Caenorhabditis elegans: one gene and its partners. The protein of the gene in region 3 interacts with the protein of the main gene of each other region in a pairwise test. Each region holds a gene or a part of one and is shown on either strand. Other genes may lie near its edges.

The links. Proteins that work in one complex are often made in the same cells at the same time.
Region 1: the proteins of let-391 (region 3) and ZK546.5 interact in a two-hybrid assay, tested with the Caenorhabditis elegans proteins (one large-scale study listed by BioGRID).
Region 2: the proteins of let-391 (region 3) and nhr-239 interact in a two-hybrid assay, tested with the Caenorhabditis elegans proteins (one large-scale study listed by BioGRID).

What each region holds. Positions count from the first base shown.
Region 1 is NC_003280.10:4,933,381-4,940,251, forward strand, and holds ZK546.5 (C2H2-type domain-containing protein), read left to right. Parts: upstream 1-2,437; coding exon 2,438-2,519; intron 2,520-2,570; coding exon 2,571-2,647; intron 2,648-2,706; coding exon 2,707-2,907; intron 2,908-2,961; coding exon 2,962-3,055; intron 3,056-3,109; coding exon 3,110-3,441; intron 3,442-3,490; coding exon 3,491-3,783; intron 3,784-3,834; coding exon 3,835-4,369; intron 4,370-4,417; coding exon 4,418-4,549; 3' UTR 4,550-4,594; downstream 4,595-6,871. Other genes in the region: msp-152 (Major sperm protein 152), read left to right, coding at 1-30; gst-30 (glutathione transferase), read right to left, coding at 557-1,065, 1,504-1,636; ZK546.4 (Energy transducer TonB), read left to right, coding at 4,676-4,789, 4,837-5,178; cblc-1 (MMACHC-like protein), read right to left, coding at 5,512-5,823.
Region 2 is NC_003281.10:2,559,291-2,568,872, forward strand, and holds nhr-239 (Nuclear receptor domain-containing protein), read left to right. Parts: upstream 1-2,419; coding exon 2,420-2,423; intron 2,424-2,922; coding exon 2,923-3,063; intron 3,064-3,110; coding exon 3,111-3,206; intron 3,207-3,628; exon of another isoform or gene 3,629-3,759; coding exon of another isoform or gene 3,760-4,530; intron 4,531-4,578; coding exon of another isoform or gene 4,579-4,668; exon of another isoform or gene 4,669-4,693; intron 4,694-6,064; coding exon 6,065-6,142; intron 6,143-6,693; coding exon 6,694-6,857; intron 6,858-6,903; coding exon 6,904-6,985; intron 6,986-7,042; coding exon 7,043-7,266; 3' UTR 7,267-7,305; downstream 7,306-9,582. Other genes in the region: feh-1 (Protein Fe65 homolog), read left to right, coding at 1-186, 1,034-1,114; Y54F10AM.11 (BTB domain-containing protein), read right to left, coding at 3,760-4,530, 4,579-4,668; Y54F10AR.2 (Mitochondrial genome maintenance exonuclease 1), read right to left, coding at 8,178-8,406, 9,290-9,395.
Region 3 is NC_003279.8:6,034,965-6,042,870, forward strand, and holds let-391 (C2H2-type domain-containing protein), read left to right. Parts: upstream 1-3,438; 5' UTR 3,439-3,466; coding exon 3,467-3,493; intron 3,494-3,572; coding exon 3,573-3,685; intron 3,686-3,730; coding exon 3,731-3,809; intron 3,810-3,859; coding exon 3,860-4,060; intron 4,061-4,154; coding exon 4,155-4,273; intron 4,274-4,577; coding exon 4,578-4,890; intron 4,891-5,301; coding exon 5,302-5,500; intron 5,501-5,700; coding exon 5,701-6,011; 3' UTR 6,012-6,303; downstream 6,304-7,906. Other genes in the region: C27A12.4 (C2H2-type domain-containing protein), read left to right, coding at 524-570, 1,236-1,361, 1,599-2,517; szy-5 (C2H2-type domain-containing protein), read left to right, coding at 6,710-7,150, 7,566-7,763.

The sequences.
Region 1 (6,871 bases), on a different chromosome or scaffold from region 3:
AAGAACCTCCCAATTGAGTACAACCCATAGGATCTGTGAACTTCCAAAATTTCAATAAATTTTCATTGATAGTTCGTTTTTTGTTTTTTTACTTGAACAGATTTTCAGAGATTTTCAAACGAGATAATATTGTCATGCTCGAAAAAAGAGCTTCCTTTCCACTAGTTTGAGCATTTTCCTCTGGATTAGCTGGCTCGACACTGCAATGTTTCTTCGATCAGTTCTTTTAAAAAAACCGAACTTTAACATTTCTGCAGGTTCTGCCGAAATGATTCCAAAAGAAGCCTGGAATTTTTGGTTTCTGTTTGCATTGCAAAGTGGTTTAAATTTCTGCAGTATCTGCATACTAAAATATTGCCAAAATTCCCAATAACTCTATTAAGTGTCTCTGTAATAATATTCTTTTTTTAGATTGTTGCCGTTTTAAGGAAATAAACTAAATTGCAATTAATTTTCTTGATTCAATTACTTCCCGCACTTCGATGTAGTGTTTTGATGTATTGAATCATGAAATTACTTTATTTTCAACAAAAAAGTTGGTAAAGTGTTCCTAGAATTAAAATGGTGTAACTGGACGAGTCTCAACCCATTTTTTGATATTTGGAATAGAATGAATCTTCTTTTGATGAGCCTTGAGTTCTGGGAATTCGTCTAGAAGTGATTGACTGGCAGCAAACACAGATCCACTGTCACTGAGAAGATCTGATGTATGTTGAGCAATCAACAGATCAACCCAGGTGACAGAGTCACCGATCAAGAATCCAGATCCACTGGCTTTAAGGAAATTGGTGAAGAATTGGTAGTTTTTCTTGAAATTTGGAAGGAATGTGTCCTTGTAAAGAGCATCGGCATCTCCTTGTGCAAATCCCATTTTCACGAGATTATAAGATCGGATGTCATTGAGATAATCTTTGAATTGATCTGCAATTGCATTCACTTGAGCTTCTTCCCATGGACATCTTCCATTTATTCCAAATTGGCGAGCAAGAAAACGAGAAATTGCATGGGATTGTCCAAGTGGTTTCCCATCCTGATAAAGGACAGGAAGAGTTCCGAACGGCATAGCTGGAAATATAGAAAATTCAATACAACATTTTTAGACATAAAAAAATTAAATTAGAAAAACCTGTACACAAATATCCCGCCAGCCTCGCAATTAAAAGTGATCGTATTTGTTATTCTATTACATGGAAGATACTTTAACATATATCTCGATTTTGGAACTATACATATTTCATTTCAAAGAGCACCTTCTAAATAGGTCCCTACAAAAAAGTTAGATTTATACGGGAACTTTGAACCAAAAAAGGTAGTTCTGAGATTGCTTTCAGGTCAGTTTTTGTGAACAAAAATCAATGATTTATAATAAGACCCAGAATATTGGTGTCAGGTCTAATCAAGATTTTATCAAGTGGATCTCGCCACGCCCACAGCGGTTAGAGCGGCACAACATTTTAATCACGAATAAATAGTATTTTGAAAAAAAAAGTTTCAAAAACTCACTCGACTTGAGAGCTGGCCAATCAGCCTGTGGAATCCGGTGATCCTCAAACTTTTGCCCGGCATATGCCAGAATCTGTCGTGGAATTTCTCCAGCAAATCGAATTGGAAAATATGAAAGTTTATAGTGGACCATAGTGTGTTTGGAGTCGAATGATGAAAGACCAATTCAAACATTCTCTTTTATACTGTCTCCTTCATTCAATTTGTTTGTCATTCTCATCGTGTTTTTTTTTCGAAGTAAGGCGGCATTAAAAATGTACGAGAAAGGTTGCCAAAATGATGACAATTGCTTGGAATTGGGAGAAAATCGAGGAAACTAGAGACGCGTCTTGCCACATTTATCATCCTTGCTAATATTAAGGTGTGATTCTGTTGGTCTTACGTGATTTGAGAATGCTCTTTTTTATAGTCAGCATATTTGAGACACTAGTGTAATAATGAAGAATTGAGAACAGTTCATATCTAACAAAATGACTATTACAATGTAAACTTTAATTAATAAAAAAAATTAATTTAAATTTCCGTTCTTCACTAATTACCTGGCAATTTACGAAAAAATACGGTACCCGGTCTCGAAACGACCAACTAGATTTAAAGGAGTACTGTAGATCTCGCAATTGTCTTGGATTTGTTGTTATTTTCATAATTTACATCAAAATTGGAATTCAGAGCTGAAGACATGAAGAGTACGTACAGTTTTGCTTACCGAACAAAAAATATACGATTATTTTTAATACTTTTTGGTCCAATTTACTCGTCTAGTGGCCCTTCCCACAAAGTCGACTCCAACGCTGCGTCTCCGTTCTCTCGCTTGCATCCAATGGAGCGCACTTACATTAAATTTTATTTATTGAATTTTTATCGGTTTTGCCATGTATTTTTTAGTTTTAATTCCTCTAACTTTCTACAATTTAGTAAACTTTTTTGTTTTTAGATGGCTGCAATTATAGGTGGAGGACCACGAAAACCGCCAAGAATCATACGAAAAAATGTAGCGCTTAAACATACGCGGAAAGGTATAAAAATATTGTTTTTAGTCGCAGAAGTCATAATTCAAATCATTATAGATGTTCGAGACGACGAAGGTGAAAAAGTTAAACGAGAAGGATATGAAGTACAATCAGGAGTATTGACTGTAAATGAGGTAGATTTGTTATTTAATTTAAGTATTAAATTATTGTAGGAAAAATTATTAATATTCAGAATCACCCATCCAACTTCAAACCGAAGAAATTGCCAGGAATCGCTAACGATGTCGAATCTTATCCATGCCGATTTTGTGAGGAGAAAATTTTTTTGACTGCATCAGGACTTGAAAAGCATGGAAGAGAGTGTCACCTGCAGAATTTAGACGATATCATGCTAGATATTAATACAATTTGTGGAGAATGGAAGAAAAGAGAGGTATTTTAAATTTAGAAAATTGTAACTTTTTTTAAAACAAAATAAAGATTTCAGTTCGAACGGCTCCGATCTCGCGATCGACTAACAATGGATAAAATGAGACACGAAGCAAGAGCACATCAACTTGTAAAAGCTGTTCTTGCTGGAAGTAAGTAAAATTAGAAAAAAATAAATAAATATATAATAAAATGTACATTTTAAGATCAGCCGACTGTAGGAGGAGAACAATATGAAGCTTGTACAATCTGTAATATGCTCGTCAACATAGCACATCCAACAGCCATGGAATCTCATCAAAGAGCACACAAAAAGAATGACGAGCTTCGATTACAGCTTATTGATCGATTAGGAGCTCACGAGGTTCAGAATCTGACGTGTGAATTATGCTCATTAGTATTTCCTGATGATGGGAAGCTAAGAGCCCACGTTACATCGCATCACACCCGACGAAAAAAATATATTTGCAAGTTCTGCGGTCATATCTCTCACAGTATGTCAGAGTTGAATCTCCATAAAAACGATGTTCATAATTATGTAAGTTAGATTTAAATTCAACATTTTCGATTAATTTTTTCATTTTCAGACAGCATGGGCAAATGTACCAGAATACCTGAAATCACGTCGAACATTTTACCAATATGATGAAGAACAAAAACGATTGCGGCGACGAACAAATTTTGAAATGGCTGATGAAATGTCAATTCGACTGCCAATTCTTGGAGAGATTTCTGATGGAGACACTGCCGGACGAGTTACATGTCCAGAATGCGGACTAAAGTTGAATCGACCTCGTCTTTTGTTCAAGCACATGGAACGAGTTCATATGAAATCTTCGTTTTCTTGTATGGTTGAGACAGGAGGTCTCCCTACCTTTGAGTAATTATTTGTTTTAAACAAGAAAAATATCTAGAAAAAATATTTTTGCAGATTAGAAGTATCAAATGGTGAGATCTTTTGGACGTGCTGTGATTCTAAATTCGACAATCGTCCGGAGTTCATCGAACATCGACGTCTTCATATTCCAACTCAACATGAAGAAGTCGTTGTTGAAAGCTCCGAAGATCCGAATGATATTCCATCTACATCCCAAGCAATGATTCCAGATGAGGATGCAAATGAAGCAGCAGAACAACACAACTTCCCACAAATGATTCATGATGAGCATGGAAATATTCAAGTTCTCTTACCAGAAGGATATGATCTCAGAGAAACTTATTATATTTACGATGAGAATGGAACGAAAATTCAATTGGTCCCATTACAACAACCAGATGGAACTATCGATCATCATCACCTCGTTCCTCAATTTGAAATAAATCATGAAGGCGAGGAGCAGATAATTGAAGAGGGCGATGAGATGATGGCATTGGAAAATGCTGAAATTGAAGGAGAAGTTGCTGAAAATGAATATGATCAGTTTCAAATGGATCTAGGAAATGACTGGGATAATATGGGTAATGTGGTGAGTGGAATTTTGAAAATTGTTTTTTATAAAATTCGTAAATTTCAGCAAATGATCTTAGTGAACGAAGATGATACTCTAGAAGAAGAACATGTCGAAGATGTGGATCATCAAATAATCGAAAATGTCGAAGGCGATGAAGGGGTGATTGAAATCAACGGGCAACCACTTTTTGATTAGTCTTAAATATAAATAATTTTTTTTTCGAATAAAAATAAATTAAATTCAGTTTTTCACGTACATCCAACAATAATAAGTCAGGAAAAACCAAATATTTCAATTATTTCACAATTTAATCAAATCGAAATGTCGCGAGCAATCACACCAGCAGTTCCGAGGAGAAGTTTTCGAAAAGAAGCGATTGTGACAGTTGCTGCTGTTGGAATTGCGATTGTTGTTTGGAATTTCAGAGATAAAATTGTAAGAATACTAGGAGGATTTAACATCGAATTTCCGTTTTGTTTCAGTCTGATTTTTGGAATTATTTGGCTTTTTCGCGTCCCACAAACTCGGCTCCAACTTCGGAACGCGAGAAAATCGATCCATCCAAGACTGCTCCTGAATCATGGGATGCTCAAAAGTCTGCTGACATTGCTCCCGAGTCTGTAAAGGTTCCAGCGTCAGATGAGAAGCATGAACAGCCAACTGAGCAACAACCAAAGGAGATTGTCGGAAACCTTGCACCGGAATCCACCGAAAAGAATGCACCCAGCTCATCCGTCTATGTTGGTCTTCCGAAAGCGGATCCAGCTACCGTATCCGCATCGATTCCACCATCCCAATGGCCTGGAGCAACAATGCCTCAATGAATGAACCTTCTTTTCTTTTTGCAACAATAAATACATTTTTAGTCACCGTTCAAATTTATGAAAAAAAGCTATACACTGGGAGAACAATGATCACAACCAAGGCTTTCGCTGGAAATTGAGCGATAATAAGATAGAATTCGACAATAAAATATCCCGTGGGTAATGTGTAGATTCGTGTGAAATGGCATAATACAAAGCTGCTCATCAATTGAAGAAATGGCAATAAGGGTAGGGCTTAACTAATAATAGATTCTATTAAACTAATATAACACAGCACCTATAAAAATTATGGCTAAAAAATCAGATAAAATCTCAAAAACATTTAATCTAATATTAGTCGATATTCTTTGCTCCTCCGTCGACCCATGGTCTCAAAACCTCCCATCTCTCCGCGACGGGGCGTCCAAAAAATTCCATTTGAGTCGTGGAATATCGTCGCGTTGGATTTCCAAAATCACGGAATCCAGAGTCCTTCCAATTGTAATTGAATTTCTCCAGTGCTGTGCGAACATCTTCAGAAGCCGTCAGAATCGGACGGGGTTCCTTTTCGCAGAATTCCGGAATTTTGACATTGGGGAAGATGAGAACCGATCGAAATGCGAAGTGTCCACCGTAGATTGGATGTAGACTGAGGCCGATGAATTTCTGTAAAATGTTTATAGATTTATTAAATTTATTTAATAAAAAAGGGTTTTTAATATTATTTTGTTTTTAGAATAGATGGAATATTCTTAATGTTGCCAGTTTTTGTTATTGTAGATTCGCAAAAAATTGCCAGGTCAGTTTAAAGGCACATCATGTATTTTCGAGTGGGTCTCGCCACGAACTCAGTTCAAGTGGCCGCTACAGGTGCCAAATTTTCGCAAATATGTTTGTTAGATGTAGAAAATTACTTATATAATTTTAAAATTTTAAAATTGCATATAGAAAGCTATTATTTATGATTAAAAATTTCGAAGTGGAGGAAATTTTCAATTTTCTATAGATTTTCTAGACAGCTCGGAAAATTTGATAAATTGTGGGAAGTTGGGTCTGACTAGATTAATTAGTTCGGTCAAGTTAGGCAATCCTGGAGGAAAATTTCTTAAATTGTATAAGATTTTTGAAATCATAAAAAGCATTCAATTTGTGAGAAGTTTTACGGATTTCAAAAATAATTGTATTTATTTATTAACTTTTTGAACTAATATTAGAGATGTGACAAAATATCCATTATGACCTTTACGTGAGGATATTAATGTGAAGATCTGGGACAAAGATAAGAGAGAAATTTGCTATAAATTGAGCAGAGTTTACCATAATCTTCACTGTAAGTTTCCACACTCTACAAAGAAGTCGCCAGTGCCCAATCCGTCCCACCAGGAGATATCCAGACCCAGCCGGGTACGAAGATCGTGTTCAATGCACCGTACGACGACAAGCACACCTACCACATCAAGGTGATCAACTCCTCGGCTCGCCGTATTGGATACGGTATCAAGACCACCAATATAAAGAGACTTGGAGTTGATCCACCATGTGGAGTTTTGGACCCAAAGGAAGCTGTTCTTCTTGCTGTTTCCTGCGATGCCTTCGCTTTCGGACAGGAGGACACTAACAACGATCGTATCACTGTTGAGTGGACCAACACTCCGGATGGTGCTGCTAAGCAATTCCGTCGGGAATGGTTTCAAGGAGACGGTATGGTTCGTCG
Region 2 (9,582 bases), on a different chromosome or scaffold from region 3:
ACCTCATCGGAAAGCTTCATGTGCTACGTCTTCCACGTCGAACCGAACGCAGCCGCCATGGCAAAAATGGTCGAGGCTGCTTGTAAGCTTCGATACCAAAAAGTGCTCGACGCCCACTCATCATCCCGTCATCACTCGGGAATGTCGATTCATGGACAACATCCACCATCCACCTACCACGGCAAGGTTTTTGAAACTTCTTCACTTTCCCTTGCTTTAACAAATATAATCGCTTGAAAATTATTTGAAGAGTCACTTTTTTTTGGTGACAGACAAATAATAAACTAACATGTTTCCCATGGAATTTAACATTTTTAATTTTAGATTTTCAGATTCTAGGCCGTCAAATTAGACTTAGGCTTTAAATTGTTTGTAGGGGGTACTGTATTGTAAGGGTTCTGTAAGGGCCTTTTATAGGGTACTGTAGGTTACTGTTAGGGTACTGTAGGACTGTACGGTTACTATAGGGGTACTGTAAGGGTACTGTAGGGTTGCTATAGCGGGCTGTAGGGGTACTGAAGGGGTACTGTAGGAATACTTTAGGGCACTGTAGAAGTGCTTTAGGGGTACTGTAGAGCTGTTGTATGGGCACTGTAGGGATTCTGTAAGGGCCTGTAATGGGGGGGGGGTACTGTAGGGTACTGTAGTAGTACTCTAGAGTACTGTAGGTTACTGTAGGAGTATTGTAGGGATAGTGTAGGAATTCTGTAGATGTACTACAGGAATACTGTAGGACTACAGTAGATCTTATGTAAAGTTAATATGGAAGTACTGTAGGTGCACTACAAGGGTACTGTAGGGATACTATAGGGATACTGTAGGGAACTGTATGGGTACTGTAGGGGTACTGTAGTTTACTGTAGGATATTGAACAAAATTTTAAATTCGAAAAAAAAATTTTTTTTGATCGATGCACCATAACTTTTGTTGTGAGCCGAAATTAATGTGCACATACTACCAAAAAATCCAATTAACTCTTAATAATCTGCTGAAAGCCTTAAAATCCTTAAAACCTAACTTGAAATAATTACAGGGATGGACTGAAACATTTCGCGACGCTTTTGGTTCGGTGACGTCACGTATGGTACCTTCTAGGTCGGCACAACGACTTTGAATTCTTCATTTTTCTTCGGTTCTTTAATTTTCTGTATTTTTGATGGATTTTTCTCATATTTTTTTCTCTCATACTCTGTTCTGCTCATCCCAAATATGCTTTCAAACCAAAAGTTTACCCCGGCCCCTCACTTGGCAATATTCTTCAATCCACCGATACATTTTTACTTGTACAATCCCTCTTTCTGTGTAGCTTTTTCAACATCTGTGACAATTTTTTTTTGTTTTGTAGAATTTGATTTCTTTGAAAAAAGGTTTTTCTGATAAAAATGGAGTTTTATAACAAGTTTGGTGGAATGAACATGGTGCATCGATAGGTCGCGAAAATTGTTTGGCAGGAAGCTAGGCAGGCAGGCAGGCAGGTAAGTGAGCAGGTAGGCAGGCGGATAGCCATGTAGGTATGTAGGTACACCAATAGGTATGTAGGTAGGTAACCAGGCTGGTATGCAGGCATGCAGATAGGAAGGCCGATAGGTATGTAGGTAGGTAGCCAAATTGGTAGACAGGCATGAAGGCAGAAGACAGGTATTCAGTTAGGTAGGTAGGCCGGTAGGTATGTAGATAGGCAGCCAGGCTGGTAGGCAGGCATACAGGCAGATAGGTGTTTAGGTGGGCAGGAACGCCTATAGGCATTTAGGTAGGTAGGATGGCCGATAGGTATGTAGGTAGGTAACCAAGCTGGTACACAGGCATGCAGGCAGATAGGTATTAAGGTAGGCAGGTAGGCCGATAGGTATGTAGGTAGGTAACCAGGCTGGCAGGCAGGGGTCATACTGATAGGTAGGTAGGAACGCCGATATGTATGTAGGCATGCAGGCAGATAGGCATTTAGGTAGGTAGGTAGACAGGCTGGTAAGCAAACTAATAGTTGTTCAGTGAGATATTTAAAGTTTTCAATAGAAAATTTTAAAAAAATTAATTTGAATTTCTTTTTGCAAATTTTTTTTCTAAATTTTTTTCATAATTTTTTGCCTGTTTTTGCCCTTTTTTGCCCCAGCCAATTTCAGCTTCAAAATAGCAAATTCTTTCCGATTTTCCATAGAAAATCTATTCGATCAGAGTGTCGGTTGCTCAAAAATTCAATAAATAATTAATGCGCCCCGACTTATGATGAAGTAAGCTTCTTCTAACCTTGTGATTTTGGGAAAGGTGGGGGACTATTCTCATATTTCAACTAGTACTACTACTACCATCTGACACCGAATACCTTTCCAATTAGTGATTCTCAGGTGGTATAAATTGGCGAGCTGCAATACGGAGATATGCCTTTTATTTTTCGGTTTCCGGTGATTTTGCTAATTTTTCGATGGGTAAGTGAGAATTTTCTCGGTTTTTGTAATTATTCTGCAAAATTTGAATAAAAATTGGCCGCGCTACGTAGGCCAATAGTTCGTTGGGGCGCGTTTGCAGCAGTTCTTCGAATTTTTTAGTTTTTTACGAAAAACTCGTTAACTACAGTTTGAATTTGTTTCTTTCACAAAAACATTAATGGAATTTCCGCAAGCGGCAAACGATTTTTTCCGGCAAACCGGCAAATCGGCAAATTGCCGGAATTGAAAATTAATGGCAAATCGGCAAATTGCCGGAAATTAAAATTTCCGGCAAATCGGCAAACCGGCAAATTGATTTGCCGAATTTGCCGGAAAAATGGCAAATCGACAAATTGCCGGAATTGAAAATTTCCAGCAAATCGGAAAATTGCCGGAAAAACGGCAATTGCCAAAAATTTTCCGAAAATGTGAGGTCACACGAATTTCACAGCGCGCGCTCAAATTGGCGCAATTTCTGTAGATCAAATATCGTTTTCAGGCCGAAAAGACACGGCAGCCGTGAACTGTGAGATTTGTGGAGACAAGTCTTACGGTAGACACTATGGAGTATGGGCATGTGATGGATGCAGTTGCTTTTTCAAGAGAAGTGTACGCAAGAATATTATCTATACTTGTATTGGTTAGCTTTCAGGCCGGAAATTTATATTATCTGAAATTATATTTCAGCGGGAAATTGGAAGTGCGTCGTGGATAAAGGCCGAAGGAATTGGTGCCCGGCGTGTCGGCTTGCAAAATGCACAAGGTTGAAGATGAATAGACTCGGTGAGTAATAGGCTCAGGCCTAGGTGTAGGCCTAGGTGTGGGCCCAGGCATAGGCTTAGGATTAGACATGGGCCTAGGCTTAGACTTGGGCTTAGTCTTAGGCTTAGTCTTAGACTGAGGCCTAGGCTTAGGCTTAGGTGTAGGCCTAGGAGTAGGATTAGACTTTGAATCAGGAATAGTACTAGGCTTATTCGTGGGCTTAGGCTTAGGCTCAGTCTCTGGCTTAGGTTTAGGACTTGGCTTGGGCATAAGGTTATGCTTAGGCTCAGGCTTATGATTAGGCTTTGAATTAGTCTTAGGCGTAGGATTAGGCTTCGGCTCAGTCTTTGGCTCAAGCGTAGGATTAGGCTTTGGCTCAAGTCTCTCTTCTCTCTCTCTCTCCCTTTCCTAGAGTTTCAAACATTTCCGAGTCAAAAATAATATCAAGTTGCGACCCGATTTATGAATTCACAAAAATAACTTGAAATAGTCTAATATGTACACGATGAAAATTTAAATATACTAATAAAAAATATGGCGAAATTATTTGACATGAAAATTATCTTCTTATCCATCACTCCAGCGTGATTGTATCGTCGTGGCAGCTGCGTGCCTCCTCCTGGAACAGCTCCAGAGTTTCCGAGAAGCCGTCCTCCTCGTACTCCTCCGGCTCTGGCACAGACAGCTTCCGCGATCTTCTCGGCACCACGAACGTCCTCTGAAGGATCCTTGAGAGTTCCGGCTCCACGAGCTCAGCACCAGTGTCCTCAGAATCTCCGAGAGTTCCAGAGCTTCCGGAAGCGTTGTCGTCGGGAACTGTGAGCTCCATCTGAGAATGGTCATCTTCTGCTGGAGCGAGCATCTTCATAGTCCGGTCGAGCTCCTCCTCGGTGATTTGTGCTCCGGCTCCTTCTGGCTTTGCAGCTTCCTTGGCGAGAGCAGCAGCTCGGCGACACAACGCCATCATCGAATGACTGGCCAACTTCGGTGGGAATCGCATTTTCATCACTTGCTGACAGTCGGCTTCGCTTTGCAACGTCTCCAGAAGTTTGTCAAAGAGATTCCAGAATTTGTACGTCTCGGCGAGCTGGAGACGAAGCGAGAAATCCATTGACTCATCGAGTGAGAGCCAATTTTCGCAGCGAGCCATCACAAAATCCACGCCAAACCGTGCAGAAACCGTCAGAAGCGACTCCACATTCTGTGCTGTGATTTGATCCGTGTTGTGGTACATGAATTCGAGGAATTTGAGGAAATCCTCGGAAGAGACGTCCTGAATTGTGATCTCTGGATCTCCCGGGGTGGCGAACAGAGACTGGAAGACCCGCGAATGTGTGGCGAGATACTGAAAATAGTGAATTATTACACAAAAATTTTAGTAGTTTTCACAAACCTGCTTCCCCACGTGGAACTTCCGCTCCTCCACCACCACGATTGCGTCGAACACGAGCTCCTTTGGCATCGAGAAGTCCATTCCAGCCATTGTCTCGTTAGAACTGCTGGCGGTGCTGAAAAATCGAGTTTTACTTTGAAAATCCAAGAAAAATAGGCAGAAAATCGGCAAAAAATGAAGAAAAATCGAGTTTTACATTGAAAAAAAATGGCCAAAAATCGGAGAAAAATGGGCAAAAAACGGAGAGAATTGATGACAAATCAAAGAAAATGGAAAAAAAGAAGAAAATTCTGGAAGTGCAATGAAGCGCAATTCCCGCCGGTGTTTGCGTATTCTGCGCAATTTTCGTTTGACCTACGTAGGTCAAATCGAAAAGGGGCACTCTGACACCACCGGAAAACCCGATAAATTTCGGGAAACCGATAAATTTTTAGAAAAATCGAAAAATTACTGGAAAACCAATTGATTTCCAGAAAAATCAATAAATTTGCAAAAAAAAAATTGAGAAAATCGGAGAATTTTTTTTCCGTAAATTTATCGATTTTTTGGTTAATGTATACACTCAAAATAATAAAACTGCGTGGCGTGTACTGCAGAAAACCTCATATTTAGGCCCCGCCTTTTTCTCGTCCACTCACGGAGAAAAGGCAAAAATTTGGGGACCAACCAATATCAGGCCGCCGACATCCTACGGGTTCCGCGCGCCGCTATGTTTAACTCGCTGTGGGCGTGGTGCTGTCTCCGCCCGCTGCGAGTTAAACAAAGTTTTCACAAACCTGCTTCCCCACGTGGAACTTCCGCTCCTCCACCACCACGATTGCGTCGAACACGAGCTCCTTTGGCATCGAGAAGTCCATTCCAGCCATTGTCTCGTTAGAACTGCTGGCGGTGCTGAAAAATCGAGTTTTACTTTGAAAATCCAAGAAAAATAGGCAGAAAATCGGCAAAAAATGAAGAAAAATCGAGTTTTACATTGAAAAAAAATGGCCAAAAATCGGAGAAAAATGGGCAAAAAACGGAGAGAATTGATGACAAATCAAAGAAAATGGAAAAAAAGAAGAAAATTCTGGAAGTGCAATGAAGCGCAATTCCCGCCGGTGTTTGCGTATTCTGCGCAATTTTCGTTTGACCTACGTAGGTCAAATCGACGCCCGCTGCGAGTTAAACAAAGCGGCGCGCGGAACCCGTAGGATGTCGGCGGCCTGATATTGGTTGGTCCCCAAATTTTTGCCTTTTCTCCGTGAGTGGACGAGAAAAAGGCGGGGCCTAAATATGAGGTTTTCTGCAGTACACGCCACGCAGTTTTATTATTTTGAGTGTACGAAGCTGTAATGAAAAGAACCTTACATATATCTACAGAATTGAGACTCTTCGCACCAACGCCCCTGGGTAATATTAATTTAAAAATTGAACAGAATGTGTTGTCAATTTACGTTTTTAAATAGTGTTTTCTTTTTGCTTAACTGATATATCAAGTTCAATTCAGCTGTCCAAACTGAACGAGGACCTCGGAGGCTTCGATGCCTGCAGCTGAAACATACCAATAACCCCATCTCTTTCAAATGTAAGTCTATACTCGGGTAATTCATCAAAACTTATACACCAACTTAGCCTTGCATAGCCTTCTTTCTTCTAAGTTTGACTATTACAAAATTCTGAGAATGCGTATTGTGCAACATATTTGACGCGCAAAATATCTCATAGCGAAAACTACAGTAACTCTTTAAATGACTACTGTAAAGCTTGTGTCGATTTACGAAAATCATTTTTGATCGATAAAATATTAAAAATTAATAGTAAGCAAAAAAATGAACAAAATAATACGAAAAATCGAAGAAAAATGGAATATCGCTGTCACTTTTGGAAAATAAATTCATTTCGAAAGTAATTAAAAGAGATACTGTAGTTTTCGCTACGAGATATTTTGCGCGTCAAATATGTTGTGCAATACGCATTCTCTGAATTTAGTGTTCACGTAATACTTTGGACAACTTTATCCAACTTTTTTCAATCAAATTTAGCAACTTCTACGCTTGGCATTTCTAAAATTGCTAAAGTTGGTGGATAAGTTGTAGATTTCTTCTCTTATTCTCAGGTTTTTTTTTCCATTTCCAGATGACTCGATATTCTCGAAATCCGTAATCCTTACATCAAAATGCTTATTGCTAAACTTCATGTCCCAACAGGAACGTCGAGAAGTTGTTGAAGAAAACTGCCAAATCATATTTGCCCTATTGATATTGGCCAGTGGAGATGAGGCAGTACTAAGCAGGTTTCCAGTAAGTTTTTGGGTCTCACAGCGAATATTACCGTAACCCATTTAAGCCGCCAAAACCTATCCCGCAAAAAGTGCATTGTGACCCAGAACAACTACGGCTGACTATCTGCATACTTCTCTCCCAATCCAGTAAGTTTCAGATCCCCTTTTATTTATGCTAGATCTAGCTAGATATTAATTTTCCAGCCAGTCCCCTTCTGAAATTCGCTGCACCTTTGGAAAACTTTTATAAATGTTGTCTATGGCGGTACTCCTTCACAAATGACTCTATCGAGACAGCTACACAACTAATCAATACAGTTACGTGGCTCTATGAAAACGGACCATGGGAGATGTCAAGTTTGCTCCGAAGCTCCATGAGCAGTCTTATTACTGAAGTCTTTGAATCAGATAATGTTGAATTGTTTTGATTTTCAATTGATGGATGAATAAATGTTTTAATGAATTTACCGGTTTGCAATTTGCCGATTTGCCGGAAAACTTAATTCCGGCAATTTACCGGTTTGCCGGAAATTTTCAATTTCTGCAATTTGCCAATTTGCCGGAAATTTTCATTTCCGGCAATTTGCCGATGTGCCGGTTTGCCGGAAATTTTCAGTTCCGGCAATTTGCCGGTTTGCCGATTTGTCTGAAATTTTCAATTCAGACAAGTTGTCGGTTGGAATGTTTGTCGGAAATTTTCAATTCCGGCAATTTGCCGATTTGCCGGAAATTTAAAGTTCGGCAATTTGCCGGTTTGCCGATTTGCGAGAAATCTTAATTCCGGCAATTTGTCGATTTGCCGGAAATTTTCAATTCCGGCAATTTGCCGGTTTGCCGATTTGTCTGAAATTTTCAATTTCAGCAATTTACCGGTTTGCCGGAAGTTTTCAATTCCGGCAATTTGCAGGTTGGCCGATTTGCCGGAAATTTTCGATTCATGGCAATTTGCCGATTTGCCGGAAATTTTCATTTTCGGCAATTTGCCGGTTTGCCGATTTGCCGGAAATTTTCAATTTCGGAAATTTGCCGATTTGTCGGAAATTTCAAATTTGGGCAATTTGCGGGTTTGCCAGAAATTTTCAATTCCAGCAATTTGCCGATTTGTTGGAATTTTCAAATTTGGGAAATTTGCGGGTTTGCCGGGAATTTTCGATTCCGGCACTTTGCCGGTTTGTCCATTTGCCGGAAATTTCAAATTCCAGCAATTTGCCGGTTTGCCGAATATTTTAAATTCCGGCAACTTGCTGTAATTTTCACTACAAACATCAAAATTATAGACTAAAACCAGTATTTATTGGTTACATGATACATATAAATTTCAATGAAAAGGTCGCCTAAATCAAAATGAAAAAACATGAAAATCATAGAGGTATCGTGTATCATTTAGTCTAATCGGCATTTGACTATAAGCCTGCTGACAGATATCCAATTCGACAATCGTGTAGCGTGGCCATTTGAAAGTGTAGTCCTTGGGTGTTTTGATCCGTTGTGACCACATTTGTGATCCTTTACGGATTTCATTCAGGAGACTATCGAATTTGTAGCATCCACCGAGCACCACTTTGTATCTGGAAATATGGAATTTTAAGTAAAAATTATTGATTTTTTCTCAATTTTTCGATGTTTTCAGAGAAAATTGAATTTTTTTTTACTTTAATTTTTTTTTAAAAATAGGGAGATACTTCGAATTTGAAAAAAAAAATTTGGAAACTTTTTCCAGGTTTCTATAATTTTTAATCATTTCTCATGTTTTTTGAAAATTTTTTTAAAAACTCGAATATATCTTTAAAAAATACGGAAAATCGAAATATTTCAAAACTTCTCTGAAAAAAGCCAAAAAAAAACGTTAAAAATGCAAAAATACCAAAAAATTGAAAAAAAAAACAATTTTTTTTTCTTTTTAAAAGTTTCAGTGAACAAAAACCAAAGATTTGGGTTTTTCAGAGAAAAAATAGGAAAATATTCAAAAATTTGAAATATTATCCAAAAAATCAAAAAATCGGTCAAATTGATTTTTTTTTTTTTAAATTTTTTCGTAAAGCTTTAAATTTTGTTTGATTTTTGAGTTTTTCCCGAAAATTATTTTTTAAAAAATTCTGTTAAATTACAAATTTTTTCCAATTTTTTTCTAAAAACACCGAAAAATCGATAATTTATGAATTTTCTCTGCAATAAACTGTAGAAATCGGAAAATTCAAATATTTTTGATTTTTTCTGAAAAAAAAACACCGAAACAAACGGAAATTTGAATTTTTTTTTTCCCGAATTTCTCTGAAAAAACACTGCAAAAATACCAAAAAGTTGTAAAATTTAAAATTCTCGTCGTTTTTCGATTTTTTTTTCGACCGACTCGAAATTTTTTGAATTTTTTTTTTCAAATTTCCAAACAATTTTTATTTCAATTTTTTAGAAATCTCTTAATTTTTCAAACAAATTTTCAGTATTATTAACCTGCAGAATATCTTATCCAAAGGCTTTTCCCCGTCACCCAAATGTGTATTTCCGACAGCGTCGACGTTTGTAAACTCTATCGAATGAATATATGGACCCATTTCATCTGAAATTTCGAAATTTTAATTTGGTAAACCACGCCCACAAAATGGACACGAAGGTGCAAATGCGCTCCAGTGGACAGTTGGAAATGTCAAGTTTTCGGTGGTAAAACCGCAAAAATTCCAAAATTTTTTAAAGATGTTTTTAAAAATTTGCAATGAAAATCACAAATTTTTTCAAAAAAAAAAAAA
Region 3 (7,906 bases):
ATCCTACATTTGAACGTTTCAAGTATATGTTCCTGGTGTTTTTCTAGTGTTTCTAGTAATCCTTTCTTTCATTTTTTCTCTAATTAGCCGATTTTCCGAAATTTCCAAATATATATTACAGTTGAAATTTTCGTAGTAAAACTTTTCAATTTGTTTGATTTTGATGTTACCCAAAAAAATCTAAAAATCTAAATTGTTTGTATTTCAAAGATTAAAATATCCAAAATACATTTGAGATTTCTAAAAATTACTTCAATAGGTTTTTGATTTACTAAAAATTATTTTTAAAAATATTAAAAATTTCGAAGCATCCGATTTTTCGGCGATTATAGAAAATTAAAATGTTAGTGCTCTTTCTCAGGTTATATTCACTTCTCACTCCACTAAAGGGCATTTCTGATTCATTTTTCCTCTGAAGCTCCTCCCCTTTCGCGGAAAGAGTCACCGAATACATTTTTGAAAGTTTTACCTGTTGAAATTAAATTTCAGTTCATCGAGACCACAACTTCAATCTAATGTTAAAATGATGCGAGCTGGCGACCACATGAATAAGGAGGCTAGAAGAATGATGTAAGTTTTATAAAAATTGTATTATTACTTATTGTTCCGTAGCCTATATATCCTGCAGTACCATAGTATCTTGAAATATTTCACAATCACATATACATAGTACCTGGAAGTACCGTAGCCAATATTACCCTACAGTATGTATAGTATCCTAGCCTATGGTATCAAACCGTAGCCTACCGTACTCGTAACCGGCCTCCCCTATAGAAAGGTATCTTAACCTACAGTACTTCTTAAAACCGTAATCTGTAGTGCACCCTAGCACCATACCAGGGGGGTGCGGCGAATTTGCCGAACTTGCCGCACACCCCTGTACCATACCGTAAATAAATCTAACTTAACCTACCATACCATTTACTACATTAACCCATTTTACCGCACCGTATCCATGAGTAATTTTAATGTAACATACCGTACCCTTCCCATTAACTACGGTACTATTATAGTGAGATATCACGTTCGACTGTTGTCACCCGATCTAAGGTAGATGTTTGCTGAACCCCTAACAAACTTCGGAAAAAGTGCTTTTCATTTAGGTGGGGAATATTACAAATGAATTGTGTCAGCTTTTCTCTCGTTTTTTTCCTGAGTCTCGCAGCAAAGTTGTTCAACTCGAAACTCACCAAACTAAGGAAAAAAAATAGTATTCCCACTATTCTATATTTCAGCTCGGAGCCGTCCTATGCCCCCAACAAAATGCACATGTACTGCAAGTACCCCATGGACGTGAGGGGAAGAGAATGTGGGTTCGTGGGGACCCTTGCTGACTGCATCACACACATGGGCACTCACACGTAAGTTTTTCATAAAATGCAAAAATGGAAGAGTGTTTGACGGACTAGACAACTATCTGAAGGGACAAGAAAATATTAGCCGGAAAACACAAAAATGTTGAAACTAGTGCATTCAATTGCGCGGGAATTCAAATGTGATTCAGCCATTTCTTGCAAGTTTGAGAAAAATAACGTTGATTTTGGTTCATTTTCTATACCACCATGTTACATTGTAATATTACATAATTTTAATTTCAGGAGGACTTACCTCTACCGTTGCAAGAAGTGCTGCATGGATCTCACGGATCCGAGCCAACTCTACAACCATCACAGCGTCACCAATGGAGACCTGTGCACCTCGAAGACCGCGGAAATGGAAGTACTTCCTCCGATAGGAAGAGATAAATCGGTGGATCGTCATAGGTCGCTGAACGTATTTCTTATGGTTATATCGAAGGAAGAATACCATAAGCATAGGACTTCCTCCAATTATGCCCACAACACTCGGAGGACTGGAGGAACTCCTGCTTATGATGATCTTCCGTGTTTCAATCAGATCTCGAGGAAGAAAACATCCTACAGCCACCAGGTTCCGGAAATCGATGTAGAGCTCAACAGTTCTTCCACATCAGCTCTTCCAATTAAAGAAGAGGTTACTACAAGGAGCCCTGCACCAAATATGGGTTTTTGCGAAGTACGCCAGCTCCCAAAAGACTCCAGAGGGCCTCAGAGAGATGGCTCCTCATCTCCTGATGTTCAGTTCATCAAGACTGTGACTATGTCACGGTTAGAGAATGTTGTTCCTACCAGCTCACGTGGAAAGGCGCCAGAAGATTCATCTGCACCAGCACGTCTAGGATTCCTCTCCGATCGTGCGGTCTCCGGGTCATCAATCCCAGCCGTCGAGGAAAGATCTGGAGAAGGCAGCTTCGACTTTACAGGTCCTTCCACTCCTCGCTTGGCCCAGCCAGCTTTTGGGAACTTTTTTGGGAATAGGGCGAGTTCTTCGTCTTTCGGTGCACCATTGTCAACTCTAGCTGTGGACAAGCTGATTCCGGAACCTCATCTCTCCGGAAGCAAAGCGGTCCCAGACCATCGTTTCGATTTCAAACATTTCAGACGTCTCCGAGCAGCGGGAGGAGGGCCCCTCAAGGCGATCGCCGATGTCTCCATCTAATCAACGGGGACGTGGAGCAGGACACCAGCCACGTAACAGGGAACATACACCGAAATCGCCATTGAGAAACCAGAGGGTGAGTAATTTGCAAAATGACCTAGTTTATTCCTCGATCATGCGAAAAAACCAACTAAATCTATCTGTAAATTTCACAGCGTGGTCGCCGAAGCCCCTCGACAGATGAGTGGACCCCCAGACGTTCAGAGCATCACCATCGTCGTGACTATAGAAGAAGAAAGCGGGATTATTCAAGAGATCGCTCACGCCATCACGGAGATCGTTATTAAATTCCATGTTGCATCTCAATTTCTTTTTCTTCGATTTCTCGAGTATTGAGCCTTTATTCACATTCCTTCTCGTATGTTCATAATAAATATTCTATCTACGTTAAAAGTAAAATATTCTATCTACGTAAATCTCCTTGTCTAACGCTCAATACACAACACAAAACATTCGCCTATTTCTTAGACTCGTAAAACTTCCTGATTTCCTTATGAATTTGCATGATCAACGTGCTGCTGTTTCACTATGAACATTTTCTACTCGTATGTTATCCGAACGGCTTTTATCAATTTAAAGATTAAACTCCAATATTTGAATGGAAATGAAGATGTGATGGCAATGATCTATTCATTACTTCTTCTTCTGTCTCGTTAAGAAACAAGATTTCAGCCGTTGCAAAGAATTATATTTATTAAACCCTCAATTCAAATTTCGCGCTCTTTCGAAGACGGGATATCGGAGTGTCGTTGTTTATTTTCAATTTTATTTTTTATTCGCAAAAAATCAATATTTGACTTTTTCTTCTATTTAAAACAGTTTTTGTTGAATTTTTCCTTTCATATAAATATTATTAATCTTTAAAATTTTTATGTTTATATGATTAAATCTTCCTTATTGCCATTAATTGTGTATTTTTCCAGATCCTAAAATTCGATAAACAACCAAAATGAAGAATAACGAGGATTTAGACGAAGTAGTACATTTATCGCAAGTAAAATAACTAATTTCAATTTAGTTTTCCAATTTTCATTAAGAAAATCAAAAATTTTCAGAATTCCGATGCAATTTTCGAGGAATGGGCAGCTGAGTGCACTCCCGACGCGCAAAAAGAGCACGAAGAGCTCGAGGAGATTGTCAAGATTCCAGATTCGACATACAGAAAAAAGTATGAAATTTTTGTGCTAAAAATTTATTAAATATAAAATTGAAGGAAAGGAAATCAAAAGTTGCCGACGGTGACGACGTGCGAAGTATGTGGAGTTGCGTTGAAATATCCATCGAGGATTATGGTACAGAATATTTTATTTTTATAACAAAATGAAGATTTTTATTTGTTCAGGAACACATGAGAACTCACACAGGCGAAAAACCATACGAATGTGACATTTGTGGAATGAGATTCACTCAAAGAACTCCAATGATTAACCATTTTCGTGTTCAACACATGGGTGATCTCCCATTTCTGTGTAATTTCGGTTGTGGCAAACGATTTGTGAATAATTCACGCAGAACTGCACACGAATTAAGCCATAATGGATTGGTAAGAAAAGTTTTTATGCTATAGAAAAATTTAAAACATCGAATCAAGCATTTATATCCTAAAAGATTACCGGAATAAGATATATTTTTTGCAGAAGCGAGCAGGACCGGCACGGCCTTATCTGAAACCAGTTAAAAAGATTGTTTGTCCATCAATGGATATGGATATACTTTCAAATTCTGCACTAGCTAATTATATATCACCACCAACGATGTAAGTATATGCAGAAGTGAACTAAACTTGATAAAATAAATAAAAATTACAACAAAAAACAAGAATTATAAGATTTTACATTTTTTAAAAAGTGAATTGCGGTGTTTAATCAGCAATCTTTAAAATTGAGATTTTAACACTTTTTGTTCTTTAACAAATTTTAAAACAACATTTAAAAAATCGGTGTTTTAATTAATAAAAAACTTTGATAATTTAAATAAAACTCCTGAAAATTTCTAAATTCGAAAACTTCCATCTTATTTCCGAATTGGTAAATTTAAAAGAAATTAAAATAACTTTGCAGAGACTCAATATTTCAAAGTGATCCATCAACTTCTTCCTCTTCACCTTCTCAATTTCAATCATCAAATCAAACAACAAAACAATCTATATATCCATCAGAAAAAGAAATGGAAAAAGCTGCAATATCTAATGCTCGAATTGATGACGTTATTAATACAGTATTGGCTCGAGTTTTGGCTCCGATTGATGAAGAAATTCCGATCGAAGAACCAGAAAAAGCTCCTCAGAAAAGAGCATATATTTCAAATCGAAGAGCAACACTTGCACAATGCAATATTTGTGGATTAATGCTTAAACATCCGAGCAAAATTGCTGTTAGTTTTTTTTTCGATAAAAAACGAATTTTGGTGAAAAATGAAAAATTAAAATTATTTCAGTGCCCACAAGCTGAATTTTTGCTGAAAAATTGAGAATTGGACAGAGAAACAATTTTTTCGATAAAAAGCATTCGAAACTTGATTTTCTGAGCAAACAGAAAAAAATATTTGTAATTAAAATTTTTTAAATCAAAGCTTATAGGTTTAAATGTGTTAAAAAACAAAATTTCCAATTTTCTCTCTATTTATAAACCTCTCAAGTTCTGAAATTTCTAGAAAAATATAATATGATTTATTATATCGAAAATTGTTGAATTTTCTAAACTTTGAAATCAAAAATTACAATTTTTAATAAAAAAAAGAAAGATAAATTTATTTTTAAATACAAATTTCTTTCCCATTTTTCAGGATCATATCCGAACACACACAGGCGAAAAACCATTTGAATGTGGAGAATGTGGCTTGTCATTGTCAAAAGCGAGCTCTTTAAAAGTACATATTCGTCGAATGCATACTGGAGAACGTCCATTTGAATGTACTTGGAGATGTGGATTGTCTTTTGTAACGGATTCTGTTAGAAAAGAACATGAAATGACTGTACACACTGGTAAATATTCAAAATATATTTTACTATCCGAAATTTGGGTTAAAACCGGGGGTAATTTAGAAAAAGAAAGCAATTTCCATTTTTTTTTGTTGCAAATTTTAGAATTTTCTCAAATTAAGAGTGTTATTGAAAATATGTTAACTCAAAAATATTTAAAAGAGTAGTCATCTACAAAAATTACAATTTTTGAAACATTCCAGGTATAAAACGTTACACATGCGTTGTAAAAGGATGTAATGCAGTATTTGCTCGTCGTGTATATCTCATGAGACATCGAAAAAATGCACATCCCGAGCTCTTCACACCAATTTTCGATCATGTTCAAGTGAATCACGAGGAATCACAGGATTCAGTTATTGTTTATGAAGATGATCATGAACAGAACAATCAGATTATAATGCTCACTGGTGATGGTGATGACGTCAAGATCTTGGCTCATTTTGAAGATGATGAAGAGGAATTTGTGGAGCAAGGAGGAAGCATGGAAGATCAAAAAACTGTTCATTTTTGACCAGAAACTTGAAAAAGCTCTTTCATTTTCCAATATCTAGGCAACTTATAGGGTAACTAGCATTTTCTACTTCATATATTCAGTTTTCTATTCCACCCAGCAATTAGTTTTTAAAATGGAAGAGTTATTCAAATTTCAAATTTCTAGGCCACTATTAAATTTTGCATTTTTTAACCATTTTTTTCATTCAAATTCTAGAAAAATTGTGAGAATTAATTCTCACAATTTTCAGTTTATTTTGGTTAACCTACGAGTTTCTTTTTGCTTCTTTTTTTAATAAAGATTTTTTTTCTCAGATTTTTCAAATTTTTTTTCTTTTCCGTATTCAGTATTTTTACTGTTTAATTATACTTGCTTTTTTTTTATTGTTTGCCAATATATTTTGAAACTTTCTCCTTTCGCAAAAATTGAAAAGATGAGATTTTGAAATTTTTTTTAACATTTTCAAACTTTCAGCAAGCTATTTTTGAGCAGTTCGAAAAAATGTAGCGGTACTTTTTTTTTGAGCCCAATTTTCTATAAAATGTTTTAAAAGGGTTTAGAATGTAAAAAACCAATTAATTGTTTTTTTCAAATTTCACAAAATCCAAAACAAATTTTTTTAGATATACCTTTTTTAATTTGCTAAAAACTTTCTAAAGGTCCAGGAAGGCCCATAAAAAATTAACGTCGAAAAATAAAAATCGATATTTTCAGAAATGGCAGAATCTTGTGTAAAACCTCAACTACCTCGTCCTCGAATTCCAAATATTAGAGTTTTTCAACCAACTACTCGAATTCCCACATTTACATATGAACAATTCAACGAATCCGTCGAAATTCTTCCAAGTCGTCCCGAATGTCTTTATCGTCGAAATGATCCAACAAATCGAAGTTATCGAATGAAAAAACGACCACCGGCACAAATATATCATTGTGTTCAATGCAATAAGCACATAAAATATCCATCAAAAATAACTGAACACATTCGAAAACATACTGGAGAGAAGCCAAATGTTTGTTCAATTTGCAATATAAGTTTCAGTCAAGCACATACATTAAAAACTCATATGCAGCAACATGCACATGAAAAACCATACAAATGTTCATTTTGTACGGCTGAATTCTTGAATGTTTATGAAAAGAATGAACATGAAGAGGTGAGAAATTTTAATTTTTCGGAAATTCTTTTTTTGAAAATTTAAATAACTTTCTGATACGAAATTTCATAGATTTTAACTTGATTATTTTGAAAATCACAAAAATCCTTTTACTTTTGCAATTTTTTTTTGTATTTTAGAAAATTCAGAACTATCAAAATGCCATTTTTGCATATAGTTCATAGGAATTCTAGACGAAATCTTCTAGAATATCCGACTTTTAACGTATTTTCGGATCGTATGGATCGTATGAAAAAATAAAAAATAAAGAATTTTTTGGATATTTGAAAATGTGCGCAACTTATTTTTGATTAACTGTTTTTTGAACTGAAAAGTACTTTTTTATGATATTCTACAAAAATAGAAGAATATTCTGAATATCTCTGCCACTTCTTCAATTTTATAAATATTTCAGCAACATATGCATCATCCAAATCACGGTGAAACAATGGAAGAGAACAATGCAACGACGTCACAATTTATTCAGGTCGCGGAGCCAACAATTCAAGCAGAGCCGTGCCAAATTTACGAATGTTCTGAAATGTGCGGTTTTCAGAGTTATGAAGAAGCCGAAGTTGTCGAACATATGACTGTCACACATTATCAGCAAACGGTATTGAGATTTTAATGGAAAATTACTGGAAAATACGTTCTAAATTTGGAAAAATCCCCTTCTCGAAATTTTTTTTGAATTTTCGGTGTATCAAATCGCAGAAAAAGTTTTCTAGAAACTTTTGATTTATCCAAAATATGTTG